2 linked regions of the Caenorhabditis elegans genome follow. The protein of the gene in region 1 interacts with the protein of each later gene in a pairwise test. Each region holds a gene or a part of one and is shown on either strand. Other genes may lie near its edges.

What was found. Proteins that work in one complex are often made in the same cells at the same time.
Region 2: the proteins of klp-3 (region 1) and ZK105.1 interact in a two-hybrid assay, tested with the Caenorhabditis elegans proteins (one large-scale study listed by BioGRID).

The regions. Positions count from the first base shown.
Region 1 is NC_003280.10:7,837,354-7,846,153, reverse strand, and holds klp-3 (Kinesin-like protein klp-3), read right to left. Parts: upstream 3,802-8,800; 5' UTR 3,738-3,801; coding exon 3,681-3,737; intron 3,505-3,680; coding exon 3,366-3,504; intron 2,881-3,365; coding exon 2,673-2,880; intron 2,539-2,672; coding exon 2,213-2,538; intron 2,121-2,212; coding exon 1,834-2,120; intron 1,786-1,833; coding exon 1,655-1,785; intron 1,608-1,654; coding exon 1,466-1,607; intron 1,423-1,465; coding exon 1,320-1,422; intron 1,270-1,319; coding exon 1,072-1,269; intron 1,024-1,071; coding exon 923-1,023; intron 876-922; coding exon 771-875; 3' UTR 501-770; downstream 1-500. Other genes in the region: Acetylcholine receptor subunit alpha-type acr-7, read left to right, coding at 371-490.
Region 2 is NC_003283.11:7,710,718-7,717,303, reverse strand, and holds ZK105.1 (T20D4.11-like domain-containing protein), read right to left. Parts: upstream 3,314-6,586; 5' UTR 3,305-3,313; coding exon 3,167-3,304; intron 3,126-3,166; coding exon 2,751-3,125; intron 2,692-2,750; coding exon 2,644-2,691; 3' UTR 2,606-2,643; downstream 1-2,605. Other genes in the region: ZK105.5 (T20D4.11-like domain-containing protein), read left to right, coding at 1-83, 574-885; ZK105.12 (T20D4.11-like domain-containing protein), read left to right, coding at 1,361-1,513, 1,564-1,887, 1,991-2,332; ZK105.13 (T20D4.11-like domain-containing protein), read left to right, coding at 4,163-4,318, 4,363-4,671, 4,724-5,065.

The sequences.
Region 1 (8,800 bases):
GTGGCCGTGGAAGAGAATGTCCTTCTGTTTGGACTGTCTGAGTCTCTTTTAGAGAGGGAAGAGGCATAGAGTACTTCGCGGAAAAAATGAGTCTGGTCTGGACAACGAGATAGATAGAGAGAGCCAACCGTACTCGGTCAAATGTAATGCATGTATTATATTGTCATATATGCCCCAAAATAGGGTTTAAGTTATTTTATACAATTGACAACATTATTAACATTTCTTTTTAGAGTTAGATCAACCTTATAGTTCAATACTTTATTTCCTCTATTACCATTCCAGTCTCTTATAGTCACACTTACCAGCAAATAAAAAATAGTCCTACATGCAGGCCTAATAAAAAAACAATGTTTATTTCAAATTTTAGGACGAATGGAAGTTTGCAGCTCAAGCAGTTGACCGATTCTGCCTTATAATCTTCACAATTGTTTTTATAATTTGTTGCTTCATTTTTGTTGCAATTCCACCTATCAAAATATTGGATTGAACTAAAAAATATTAAATGAATATTTTTATTGTTTCAAAGCTCACACATAAACAAATTTGCAAATAATAAAAATGGGGGATATATTTAGATTTGAAAAAGTAAACCGTATTTCAAGTTTTTTGGTCAGTCAGCAGTTTTAGAAAAAAAAAATTGTTGGAACCCATTTTGAATTTTTGAAATTTTTCATGGACTAGAATGGAAAGAGTAAGCGGGTATTTCAGGGATTTGACAAGATGATTATTGGAGAAGTAGAGATGAAATATTTGATATTTTATGAGGTTCATTTTCTTGGAGATGCTGGGATTTCTCTTCGTTGACCACTGCTTATTCCAGTCATACTTCTACGTGTTGGTTCTCTTTTCATCGTTCCACTTTTTGTGAATACCTGAAACATTTAATTTTTGTAAAATGTGATAAGGCATAAATGCATACCTGTCCGATTTTTTCAGCAAAATTAACACTGCTAATAGATTCATTCAAACTCTTTGCATCTGGTGATAAATGCACAATGACCAGAGTTTTACTGTCTCCATCTGAAAATAATATTTAAAAGGGAAATCCCAATATATTATGAAACTCACTCAAGCTATCTTCAAGAATTCTTGTCAATTGACAATTTCTGAATGGAATATGTTTTTGATTCTGGCGAAGAGCAAGTACAACATTTCCAAGTTCAGATAGAGATTTATTGATAGCTTGAGCTTCTTTTAGCAGTTGACCGGTTGCATTCGTTTGAGAAACTCTCTCTGATCCAGCAAGATCTACCAAATTCAGACGACCTGAATAAATCATATATTCAAAATATTTTTTCACTTGAAAAATGACATACCAACTGTAGTTGCTTTTGTTATAAGATTTGTGGCCGATACTAAAACTCTAACAATAACATGAGAACGACTGGATTCAATATTGGCTTCAGTAGCAGCTACAGCCTGAAAATTGAAAATTTAGAATATGAAGTTGTTTCAAATTCACCTTATTCTTTCTTCCTCTAGCAAGCGTTTCCGTGACTTCTTCTGCAGAGTTCACTGAAACTTCCTCAAGTCCTGGAATTGAGCTTCTCCCTTCTTCAGTTTGACGAATTGCCAAATTTGTGTTGGAAGTGTTCAAGAGATCACTGAAAAATGAATTTGCAATTTTAGGTTAAAAAAAAAGTCAATTTACCGTATTTTTTCATTGTATATCTCCATCATGGCAACTTTAATATCATATTTTATATCGCCCGTTCTCTCCTTCGCAGTTTCGAACAATTGCATAATAGCTCTTTGATTGATTCCAGGCATTGTGACGGGACCCTGAAAATTGGAAATTTAAAGTTCTATTGAAAATTTAATTAAACTTACATCCATAGTGTATGTTTTTCCACTTCCGGTGTGTCCATACGCAAATATGCATACATTATAACCATCAATGCAAGATGTAATAATCGGAGAAACTTCATTAAATATCTGATCTTGCGAGAAATCAGTTGGAATAACCTTGTCAGCTCCAGCACTAGTTTTCCGAGTTCCCGTTGTGTTTGACACGTGGACAACTCCGTTATCCATTTCATCTATCACGACAACTGGTTTTTGATTGTCAGTTTCTGATGCAAGTTGTGGACGGATACGGTAGAATACACGAATGTTACCTTAAAAATTGAAAATTTTAGTTTTTTGGAAAGTAGTTATAAAGATCAATCATTCCGATTTCTTGGAATATTTCAATCAATTTAGAACTTACCATTCAACTCAACCAATTGATTGTGTAATTGCTTTCGTTTTTCCATTTCTGCTTTGTATCTTTCAATGAGAACTCGGAAGAAATCAGTTGTCTTTGAAGTGAGCATCATTCTCATTTCAGCCATACATACATTGAATGCATCTTTTGTATCCAATGCTAGTCTCTTCAATTCATCTTTTTCAGTTTTCAGCTCTTCTGCACATCTCTGAAGTTTCTTCCAATGCCCTTCTTCTCTCATTGATTGAACCATTTGAGGATATGGCTTTATGACGTCACCCGTTGGTTGGGGGCTCACTGATCTGGGAACCGAACATGAAGAATCACGGCTGGAATACACAGGAAAACATGCAAAGGCTTGCAAACGGAAAATAAATTACACTACATTTTTGACCTACTTTTCAAAAAATTCAAGTGTTCAAACTATTTTCACAAGACAATCACATTACAATAAAATGGTTACCTCAAAGCAAATCGATCCTCATTGCTTGTCATATCACTTTCATAATCTTCATCAGTTTCCAATAACTCATTCACTCTTGCCACTTTTTGCATTTGGCTCAGCGCATTTTTCAATCGTAGATTTTCTTCCGAAAGATTTCCGAAATCCAGTGAAAGAACTGAAATTCCTTTCAGCATATTTGACCGATTTGTGTATGACGTGGCACGGCCTGCAATTCAATTTCAACATTTAATAACCTGATCATTCCAATTAGCCGTTTGCTAGATTATTGTTTAGAAATAAGCTGTTGTAAGTTTTGTTTGGACTTGCGAAATTAAAGTGAACATGTAATGATGTTAGAAAAATATTATCAGTATCGGCCGGATTGAAATGATTTTGGTAGAATATGTGAAATTGAAAAAAGGCACTGTCAACCAAAAAACCAAGTAGAAAATAATAAAGATTAAACACTATAAAATCATGCCAATCCGACCACCACAACACAATTACTTTAAGAAAAAACAAAAATGCGTATTAAAAGATAACACTTTTGAGCTAAAGATAGCCAAATCACACGACGATCAAAAAATTGGGATTAAAAAACACGGTACTCATGACAATATATCAAGTAAGTGTCTAAGATTACGGATAAGTAATACGGGGTTTTAATCATGCAAAACTTCACAAAAATTCACTACACACGACAGTGCGTACCTTGAATAAAATCTTCCATATTTGCAATTCGTGACTCTTGTTCGTCTATAATATCTTCTAAATTTCTCAGAAGTCGGTCTTTTGTCTCAATGTGTGTCTCCAGAATTCGCATTTGCAACTTCATATTTACGAGTTCCACCTGAAATTGAACAATAATTGGAATGTGAATTAGAATTCTGGTACACAATTTTTTAATAAACTCAGTGAAAAATGGTTCAATCAATTTCAGAAAAAAAAAATCTTAAAATATTCTCTCAAACTTTGTGCAACTAGTGACACTAGTTAAACCAAAAACAAACTGAAATTAGAACAAACCTCATGAATATACTTGCATTGTTGGAAAATATCGACTTCGCCGACATGCGAATCCATTTTTAAAGTCAAAAATGGAGTGAGAGACTCCTGTGTTTATGTGTGTCGATCGTTTATTTTTTCTGGAAAACAGTAATTCTAGGGTGCAGCGGTTGAGGAAAACAACGCAAAAAACGGAGACAAAAATTTTTGTGTTCATTTAGAAACATAGAGGATAGTCAACATATTTAAGAGTATGTAAAATTGAAAAAGGAAATAAAAAGTGAACAAAATGTCAACAACGTTCGATTTTTTACTTTCTCTTTCTGTCTACTATATCGTAGCCAGATCAAAAAGGATAATCTTTTAGTTAGCAACTAAAACAACAGGAAAAAAACAAAAAAAAGTAAAATATAGCAACTGAATGGCATTCAAAAGTATCTCAAGTGGTCTTCTATACAAGACCAAGCCGAAAATGAATTGTTGGTCAGGTATTATTAGCGGAAAAAGGGAAGAAAAGAAAAAACCGAGAAGAAGTGAAAGAACTGGTCGAATATGGAGAAAAAGGTGAAGAAGTATCTCTGCAAATACAGTGATTCCACGTCATAAAAAAGTGAGAGAAGGTAAACTAATAAAAATTGAAGAAGGAATGAGGAGGATGAAAAGTTGAAAGGGCACAGAGAAAGAGCTTGTAGCGAAACAGGCGCACAAATCAAACATGAAATTGAATACAATGTAGACTGATGGCAGAACATTGAACAAAAAGGAAGAGAAAATTATTTGTGATCTGATCTCGGTACTGTTTTGTTTGCCGTCAAGCACTTTCATGAATGAGGTTAATTTTGTATTTATAGAAAATTCACAGAACGGTCGAGTTTCAAATAGTGGAAAAGGTATCATCAACTTGCTATAACCTAGTTTATTCCATCGCTCCAAAATTCTTGTAAATGTATAGAATTTTCATAGAACAACTGATGAGAATATATTGGTTGATTAAAAAACATTTTGAAACAGAAATTAAGCCCAATTTATTGAATATTTGGAGGTTTGAATAAATGGTTATTAAAAACTCAGAGCTTGTTTTCTGATAATATAAAGAATGATCTTTAAATAAATTAAAACAATTTGTTTATAATGAATATTGATGATTTCATTAAGCTTGTCTGACTCGGGTCACTCTACAGAATAACGAACGAAGAATTCTGACTAAAGCCAATAAGATTTGTGGAAAAATGTTTGAATTCCATCACCCGGAGCTCATGATTTGTTCTTTTCTTTCTTCCAACATCATTCCATTTCACATTTTCACAAACGAGCCTGTGTTCGGTTACAAGAGCTCATAAACTTCTAGTGCACATTTTCACATTTTCAAGTGGTTGAAAAAGAAAAAAAAACGAAAAGTGACGACGGTAGTGAAGAAATCTGAAGAAAAAAGAAGAAGCATGTCGATTCACATTGAATTGATGAGAAGGAAAAGGATGGAGTGTGCTCCGAGAAACCGACGAGCAACATGATTTATTAGTTGTGACCCACAAAAAAGGAGTGACACGAAATGGGAAAAAGTCTGTTTTGGGTAGCATCTAGATCAGAGAAATTCAGGCGATAGGCATATAAATACAAGGAAAAGTCTAAATTGGATTGGTGTTCAATGATGGAAGTTCCAAGACAAAATTCAATGACCAATCAGAAATTTCAAGAGTTAAGCGATGATGGTGGTGGACTACGGGCATGAATGTGTTTGTAAAAGTGATCAAAATGATGCGGAAAAGTGATCGAAAAGAGACGAAAGTAGGCGGAGTTGGGCGGAAATGAGAGGGACGCGGAACGGGCACACACACACGTAATAGGCAGTAAGCCAATTGTTTCTGCTCGTTTTTCAGGTTTCATTTCTTGTTTTATGGCGAGAACATACACATTACATAACACAAACAAATAGTTTTCCGTGTAATTGTGATGACCACGACAAGACCGCTAATTACAGAACATGAGAATTTGGAGAATTTAAGCGCAGAAGGAGAGAGAGAGAGATAGGGAAAGAGTTCGAAATGTGGAACATCAAGAAAAATGTTGGTATTGAACTAGAATAATTTTTAAAAATTGCTTCACCAATATCTTTCGTGCTCTTGAAATCTAGACACATACCTCATTTTTGATTAGTAGTTCACACTTTCACTTCATTTTAAAAGGTTATTTTTATTTCGAAGATATATCAATAAATAATTAAAAACAAAACTATAAAGAAAGAAATTATACATACTTTATTAGTTGACACTTAAAAAAACAAATGGTAACAAAAATATGACTTGTTAAAATTTGGTAATGGGATGCAAAGCTAATATAGGGAAAAACGATGAAAGAACTTAAAATCGACGTTTTTCAAATTGAAATGCACTCCAAACTGAGTCCCTAGTTTTTTTTGAATTTCCAAAGTCATCAGCTTAATACAGAGACAACAACGAAAAACTACAGAAAGTACAAAATGAAAGTGAGTTTCCGTGAAACGGATGGATTACCATCACCTCCCAAACCGGGCATGTTCATACAACTTGTACATAATAACGGTGAGGGTGGCGACCTCACCAAACGATGATCAGGGAGAATCGGAAAAAAGGAGAGAGGCATCGGATGAACAGAAAGGATGAACAGAAAGGAGAAAGGATATGAGTATATGTACCGCCTGGAGAAATAAATTCATAGAGGATTAGAGAAGTGAAGTATGAGGTTGAGGGAGAGGGAGAGGGGCACACGCATAATATAAATAAACAGGCGTTGCGAAGAACCTTTCCTACTAGTTGGTGGCCGGCAAATTATTGGTCAGGTCTTCTGTGTAGATTTTTTCAAACTAAAAATATAGATTTTTTAGAAAAAAAACTAAGTTACTGAACTAAGTTACTGAATATTGTAATTTCCTGGAAACTGAGAACATTAGCTACTTCAATCAGTTTTTGGAAACTCATTACATGGCTGAAAATGCCGTCATAAGATTTAGTAAGTCCAACAATATTTATGTTTAAAATGTAAAAAAAAACAGAGCTTCCATTTTGGCAGTAATTTAAAAGAGAGATACTTTTTAAAAATGTACATTTCATTTTTAAAAGTGAAAGCAAAATTATAGCTTGATAAGAAAACATACAAAATATCTAAAACAAATAAAATGTGTAAAATGTGTTTATAATAGAATGCTTTATATACTCACGATATGATAAGTTTATCCGATCGGATAACTAGTTCAAGTGATAAAAAGTTAGGTGTGGTTTATCTCATGCATGAAGTTATCTTTTTGAGTATCATTTGCAAATAAATAATATGCTTCAATTTATTGATAATCGATCAAATAAAATTGCATTGAAAAATCACAGAAATATCAAAGCTTCAATGATGTACGATGGCATATCAATATCTTAAAAATGACAAAATAGGAGAGAAAATGACAGATGGATATTTTAATGAAAAGTGACACACATTGCCCTACTAAAAAGCAAATTTTCGCAAAAGAAAAAAAATGCAAAAAGAAAGGATGTGGGTGTGTTTCAAATTGACTCACTTCTTCTTGCTGTCTCTTTCTGAATTTCTTCCATTTCTCACTTTCTGTTCCATATTTGGCTTGCGGGGGCTCTTCCGCGAGCCCATTAGAGAGTACAGGACTTTGAAGAGATTTAGAGAAAGAGAGAAACATAGAGAGTAAGAGATGCAGTAAACAACAACAAAGCAGAAGGAGCCAGCCGATAGGGAGGAGTAAAATGAGATGAATTAGCTAGGGTAGCGGTTTTACGTTTTGAAAACGAAAAACGATGAATTTTGAATGAGATACTACGGGTACGAAAACGAATAATGAGAGAGAAGGCGAGAAATTTGAGTTTTTTATTGAAATATTTGCCAGAATCATTGCGATGGGTGACCAATGCTCAATTTCTTTAAAAATATTTATTTGGAAAAAATAAAGTGCATATGAGAGATGAATAAGTACGTACTGATTACATTTATTCAATTCGGTTAATGACTTAATATGTAGATGAATTTCATTTTTTGAAAACTAAATCATTTTAAGTGGAATAAAATGGAAGCACTTATCCACATTCATCCACTTTGCAAAATGAATTTAGAAGTGACCCTTCCGCTTCGAAGACGACGTCCTTTCACACATGGAACATGTTTCTGGTTCAGTTGTCATGGATACGCAGACTGGTCATTCTCTGCTGGATATCTACTTTGAATGCCTACAAATGGATAAATTCCCGAATTCCCGAAAAAAAACAAGACACCTTAAAAGTTTCCTCATATCATCAAAATATCACTGTAGAAAAATTGCTCTTTACTGTTCTATTAATTCAAACTTCCAAAGATATAATTTCAAAAAAATTCCGGATTTAAAGTATTTGCAGCAGTTTTAATAAATTAGCAACGTAGTGTGATTATAATTCTAGACAACACGTCTGAAAAATTAACTATTGTATTTTATAAAATTGGTACGGAAAAGTTTTTTTTGGAATACCTTGAAAATTATAGTGCCGAAGCATCTAACTATTTTATTTACCATCGACTTTCCCACAAACAACTAACCCATTTTCCAGTCAGTTTCTCCAAATCACAAATAGAGTTGTCAATCATCGGGAGGTGCAATCTTTGTCTTCAGGACGTACACCTTTCTCGTGTTTTCGATCTCTAAGATCAAGGTCAAAGAATATTAGAGCAGTAAACTCAGTCAAGAGCGAGTCACGGCAACTCGGTCCAAAACCATTTCTAATTAGTAAACTCTCAAAAACCACAACTAAATAGCTTAAAACCATTGTAAATTAGCTTATTTTTGCTAATTAGCAATGATTTTAAGCTAATTAGTTGTGGTTTTTGAGAGTTTACTAATTAGAAATGGTTTTGGACCGAGTTGCCGTGACTCGCTCTTGACTGAGAAGTAATTCTATTTTTAAATACAAGTAAGCTTTAAAATGAATGAGAGATAGTCGTGTGTTATGAACACCTGAAAACTCAAACTTCACTTATTGATGGTCTCACATAACACTTTCAGGAATGTTATAGGAGCCTGACTGGAGCTCAGTTGAGACGACCGAAGAACGTGAAAAAGGTACCCCCTGAAGCCCGAGTTGTGTTCTGGATAAGAAATCTAATGGGCTTCTATGCACCTGAAT
Region 2 (6,586 bases), on another chromosome or scaffold:
ACCAAACTTCAATGTTGTCGACAATTAAAACAATTAATGATACAAGAATGATTAAAGCAATTGATCAATGCAATGATGTAAAGGTGAGAGTTGGCAACTTTAAAAGGGACGATGGATCCTCTCGGCATTTGCCTTCAGCTTTTTCCCAAGGCTGGCTCGAAAAACTATAGTCTTGTGGCGTTCTAAACTTTTGTTGTTGCTTTGGCAAGAGGTTTTGGCAGGACTTGTGTTAAGCTTTGGTGGAGCCTGAATTCAAGTCTTCTCAAAGTCTTGCCCAATTTCTTTTAAGATTTAATTAACTTCTGAACCAAGTTAATATTTTTGGCCGAAACTTGAGACAGCAACTGGAGCCAAATTCCGCGTTCTACATCCTTCCGCATTACTGGTATCATGAATTTTAAAGCTTCTAAGAAGCTTTGCTGAAGTGAATAAACTTGTAAAGTTCCGTTGATTGTTGAAATATCTTTCAGTAGGCGCGAACAAAACCAAATGACCAGATATTTGAAATTTGTACCGAATAAGTACCAAATAAGAAAAGAGTACTAAGTTATATTTTCAAGGAGTTTTTTTCAGGTTTGCATGGCTCCATCTTGCTACGCGTTTGAATCCGAACGACAAATTGTAGCTACTGCATGCAAATCTATCGAGATGCAAAACACTGGCTTCATGTTCTGCTTGAAGAAAATTGGCCGTGAAAAACCCGATTTATCGAACTATAAATGTATTGGGAATTATGATTTCTCGATGACAACGTCGGAAATGTTCACAACAAAAAAATGGTGCACCAAGTGGATTATGAGAAAAATTTGTGGAAATCGGGCAGTGACCAATTTCCAAAAATATGCCGCAATCACTGTGAAAGCTCTTGAACTATCAGATGATTAAAATATTTTTGCCCCTATAAATGATTAATTTTGAAAAAAATGTTTCACTAAAATTTGTTTCCAATTGAAAAATTGTCTAAAGGATAGACACTATAAATTGAGCATTGGACTTTATAACGAGGATTCCAGCTAACGCATTTACATTTCAAACTCAAAAAGAAACCTATACGACAATTGTCTACTTTCATTGTAGACTGCAGAATACATACGTGACACATTGAACTAGTGATCGAAATGTCGACTGAGATCGTAAATCGACTAGAATTACATTTCCATTCATGCGGATTTGTTGGTTGAACACGCCGACCTATGGTTTAAATTTTGATTCCATTTGCACTGAAAATTTTCTGAACTTTTCTCAAATAGGTTGAAAAATCATTTTTTCTTTGTTTAAGCCATATCCAAATTTTAATTTATATTTTTGGCCCTGCTTTTGCTTTGAAGGCAGTCGAGATTTACTACGTTCCAGTGGGTCAATGATTAAATTACCATGGACTCTCTTCTTCATTATTGGGACCGCAACATGCTCGTTTAACCAAGTTGATGAATCCTATGCGTGTATAAGAGAGTTTTGTTTTCTTACACAAATGAATGTTGATAACTGCACTAAAAACCATGACTTTATGTCGGTTAGTTTCAAATTAAGCTTAAAAGAGTTACATAAAGAACTAAGTTTCAGAGCGATCCGGCTTTACAGCAAATTGCATTTAAAGAAGGAAAACAATGTTTTATTTATGGAATTAGTTCAGACTATACAAAATATACATGCACAAGAACGATAATTGATCATATCACACTCAATTATGACATCTATATGGAGAGCATAGTAGCAACACCAACAAGTGAAACAAGTTGCAAGGATCCATATTACGCATTTGAATCTTGCCGATGTAGGCAAAGCTATGACATAACTGAAAATTTGGTTAACAAATATAAATGGGCAGACAAGAAAATGTCAATTTATAAGCAGGAGGAGGTGATGAATCAATGCAAAGATTTCAAGGTAAAAGTCGCTTCAAAATTTTAATTAAATATAGGTTTAGTTTTTCGCTGCTTGCGATATTTAAATTTTCTGCAAATAACCGCCCAACTTCCCAAATTTCCAGAAGTGTGCTAACGAATGCTTCTCACAGTATCCAGATATAGCAAGGATTTCTGCCGGATGTGACATTGTGGAATTAAAGTACTCGCCATTCATGAGTTGCCTGACAAAGTTACGCAATCGCGAGTTCAAGCTGCCGCACTACAATTGCACGGATTCCAATTTTCGAAGCAGAGATATAGAAGTACTTATCAATATGTTCACAGAGGATATGTACTGTACCAAGTGGATTATGAGGAAACATTGTGATGAAAGTGCGGTAATAGATTTCCGAAAATATGCATCATTTCTTGCAAGCAATCTTAAAGGAACTCTTGTACTCTTCTCCGGCTATAATGCACTATGATTCGGAAATCTGTTCTTTGCCAATGAATTGTATCAAATAAAGTGAAGTAAACTTCGTCATGTTCAAAAACTTTTAAAGCTGAATTTGTGAATGTTGTGAAACATAATTTTAAGTTTTGTATTCAAACATCCAATGGAAGCATAAAATGCAAAAAGTTTTATAGGTCCAATTAGAATTCATAGGCATTTCTTAAATTTTTGCAATATTAGTCAAGTTTTTTGTGAAAAATCTTGCGCATTATCGGTATCGGAAAATTGGGAATCGGGAAAAATTAAAATCAAAAAGTTTATTTTATTCAACTCGCAAGATTATTAATATCTTCTGAAATCACATTTCTTGGCGAATGGATTGATGACTTTCTGAAAATAAACGTTTTTTTTTTCGTTTTTTTTTGATAAAGCAGTTTATATTCAATCACCTCGCGGAACGATCTCCATTCTTTTTTCCCGCATGTTTTCACAATGTCCTTCTTCATACAATCTTTCCGTTTGAAAATTTTCTCACAAATTTCGTCGTTCATGTCAGGAATTCCAATCGACATCGGTTCCCAGTTTTTGAAACACTTTGAACCGTTGTCATTTAATTTTTCGTTGCACTCAGCAAAATCAACGTGGACGTACGCAACGAATTCACAATAGTTTTCAACTGATTTGAGCATATATTCCTTATTTTTGTCGCATCGGATATTGGAGAAACACGTGTGAAGAGAATTACAAGCACTCACAAAATTCTTCATATTACTTTGGTTAGCCATATCGTGCTCTTGAACTTTTTCTTGAATGTTGATGAGACGCTAAACGTGAAATTCGTGAAGAGTTTTAGAAAAAATCTCACCGAAAGACATTTAGCTGCTTGAAATCCATCTTCAACAGTACATCGGAAGTATCTTGATCCAGCAGTTGCTACGCTTGCACCATGAGCTACCCCTAAAAGCACAGACCCAATGAGGGCAACATTGAAAAGATTTATCATTTTCTGAAACACAAATCTTATTAATAAATGAAAACGAGAAAAACCTAAGACTGAAAAGTCCCAATGTGATGTCTTATTTATAAGCGTCGCAAAAGATGCAATTGAATCTGGCGGCAACTGTTGCAGTTTCTCGAGAAACTAAAAAAAATGTACGTGAATGTTATTCGGGAATTTTTTTTTTGGATATTTAATGAGATCTGATCTTTGCAACATTCCTCTGCATGACTCATTCTGTTAATATGTTGTGTTGTAACTTTCGACCCCGATAAATCTCGAGATTGCGGAAAAACGAAAGAAACAGAACCTGTGAGATATCTTTTAAGAAAAGAGTCAAATAAGTTTTTTTAAATTTAATGTTTCATAACGTTTTGAACAAGTTTCCAATATATGCTGAAATTGTAAAAAAATCCAATTGATTTGTAGTTAGAAATTCTCAAAAAATTAAACATTTCTTCGGAATTTTCTCACACATTTTTCTGGCAGTTCAAAATATTCAAATGTAATATTTTCAGTCAATGGATGAACAAATTTGGTTACATTTTATCCATCCATTGTCCAAGGAACACTTTCGATTCAAGTGGATTTTGTTACGCACAGCGAGAAGTTTATTTGATTCTTTGATATTTAGAGTGACTCACTGGGTATTGTAGTAAATAATAGAAATAGTGGGATTAACTGTGTGTTGGTTTGATTCTTTGATGTACTATATAAGCATGGTAATGTCTAATGGGGAAACATGTTTAATAATTTTTACATGTTTAATAATCGGTTTGATAATTTTTCACATTAATTTTTTCTTTTTGCAGTCTAAAAAATAACTATATCCTTTTCAGAGTTTCCAGTACTCTAATTTTCACAATGAATTTGTTTCGTGAGTTTTTGATTGTTCTCCTCTTCAATATGGCAACACCTTATTCCTGGCATAACCAAGACTCGTATTACTGTATCCGATCATTTTGCACTGTTGCACTGGGAGATACACGTGACTGTCAGAAGAACATTTCATTTCTTTCGGTTTGATTGCAAACTTCATTTTTGCTAAATCTCTGTGGTTTTAGAGCGATCCGAAAACCCAACAAAAAGCATTTACAACCGGGAAGACATGTTTTTTCGACACAATAAAGTCGATTTGTGACAAACCGATTATTGAAAACATTTCGAAAAATTATGACAAGTATCTTGAAACTATCACTAAAAAACCAGAAAATGTCTCCGATTGTTTTGATCCTCATTATCTTTTCGCACAGTGTAGATGGAGACAATCTGGAAGAGATGCTTATCTTCTGCTTAAGAATTATAAAAACTCTACCAAGAAGTTCGAAGCAAAAGATGTGGCAAACATAAGCAAAGTGTGCCAAGGTTTTAAGGTGAGATAAATTTGAGACCAAACATTAAACCCTTAACCAGTACCTGTTCCAGAATTCTACTTACAGTTGTTCACCTCACGATTCGAGCACGCGGATGGTAGAAGATGAGTGTGATGTCATCGACTTAAAACAGACACCGTTTATTGCTTGCTTGTCAAAGATACGTGCAAACAAAGAAGCTCTGCCAAAATACAAATGTGTGAATTTTGATTTTCAAACCAAAAAAGTGTCTACATTAATGCAAATGTTTACAACCAAAAAATGGTGTAACAAATGGATTATGAAGAAGCATTGTGGTAAATCTTCTGTAGCCGATTTTAAGAAGCATGCAGCATTGTTTGTGAAAACTCTTAATAGCACATTGAGTTATTTTACTGGTTATAACCCTATTTAATCATAAAATAAAGTTGTGCATTGTTTGCTAATTTGAAAATCACCTGAAACTCTGTCCCAACTTTTTCTTATTTTCAATGTTTGAAAACTTTCAAACTCGATATATTTGTAAAAAATTCAAATCAGATTAGAATTTTTTCAAGGGAATACTAATTCATGAGTGTGATATTTTATATTTTTTGAATAATATTGAACTTAAGTTTGAACAAACTTTTGTATTGAAATTTTAAGGCTTGCAAAACTTTTTTGAGGTATTGAAACAAACTGCAGAGAATCATTCGTTATTTGATCATAGTTGTAGTTGAAAACGTAAACAACTGGATTAAAGATTTTTGTGTCAAATAGATTTTTCCTCAATCACGTACACACAACAAAATACTATTCCATCTCGTAAATAAAACACAGTACCCGTAAAGTTCAGTTCTAGTTTAAGATATTTATTACCAGCTTCCCGTGTTTAAAGCTTTAAAGTATCTTATGCATTTTCCAATACTTATTCCGATTATAATTTCCGAGAAATAATTTTAACTATAGCTAAAACCGCAAGAAAGAATGTATGCGGCCCGCAGAATTACTAATGATTCCTCATTGTGGTCACCACTTACTTGTTACAAAAAATTCAATTCAACCCACAAGATTCTGTATCCTGTTATTATATCAAGCTGGCTAGAATAAGTGATGCGCGGTAATCGAAAATATTCAGCAATACAATTTAAGAAACAATCCTACATTTTTAGATTGCTGAAATTTTTTAAAGGGGGAGTAGAGTTTGTGGGGAAATATATGTTTCTGACTCTAATTTTGCCCCTGATGCCGAATATCGATGTGAAAAAATTCAAAAAAATTTCCCTGATTTTATATTAATTTTTAAAATCCGAAAATTCATTGGATGCCACTATGTGAGTTTTCAAACGCTGAATTTTCCCGCCAGAGACGCCCCGCCTACGAAACCGTGCCGCAAGTGTGGGTTTACGAGGTGAATATTTTCCTTCTATTTTTATTTGATTTTATACCGATTTTCGTCGATTTTTCTCATTTTTTCGCCGTTTTATATTGAAATTTTTGTTATTTCTCTTAAATTATGCCTTTCTATTGATGAAATACACAAAATTTCATGAAAAATTCCATTTTCAGCACAAATTCGACGGGAAACGAGGAAAATCGCGGAGACACGACGATTTTTTGGAAAGTGAGTACTTCTTATAGAAAATATTATTTAAAAAACAATTGAAAAGTAAGAATCGCTAAATAATTAAGCCTAAAACATCCTAAAAATCATCAGTATGTCGATTTATTCGGCAAATATCTTACTATCGTAATAAATTTAATTAAACTTCCTATTTTAATCCTAGTGCTTATCAATAGTCTATTTACAAATCTCAATAACGAAAGTTCTCCACATTAATACAAACATTTAACATTTCAGTTATCCGGAACACGTTGATTCGTCACGCTCCCGAGGACAATCTTCGATTTTTGTAGTTTTTTTTCCCAAAAATGTTTTTTTTGTAAAGTTTATTGA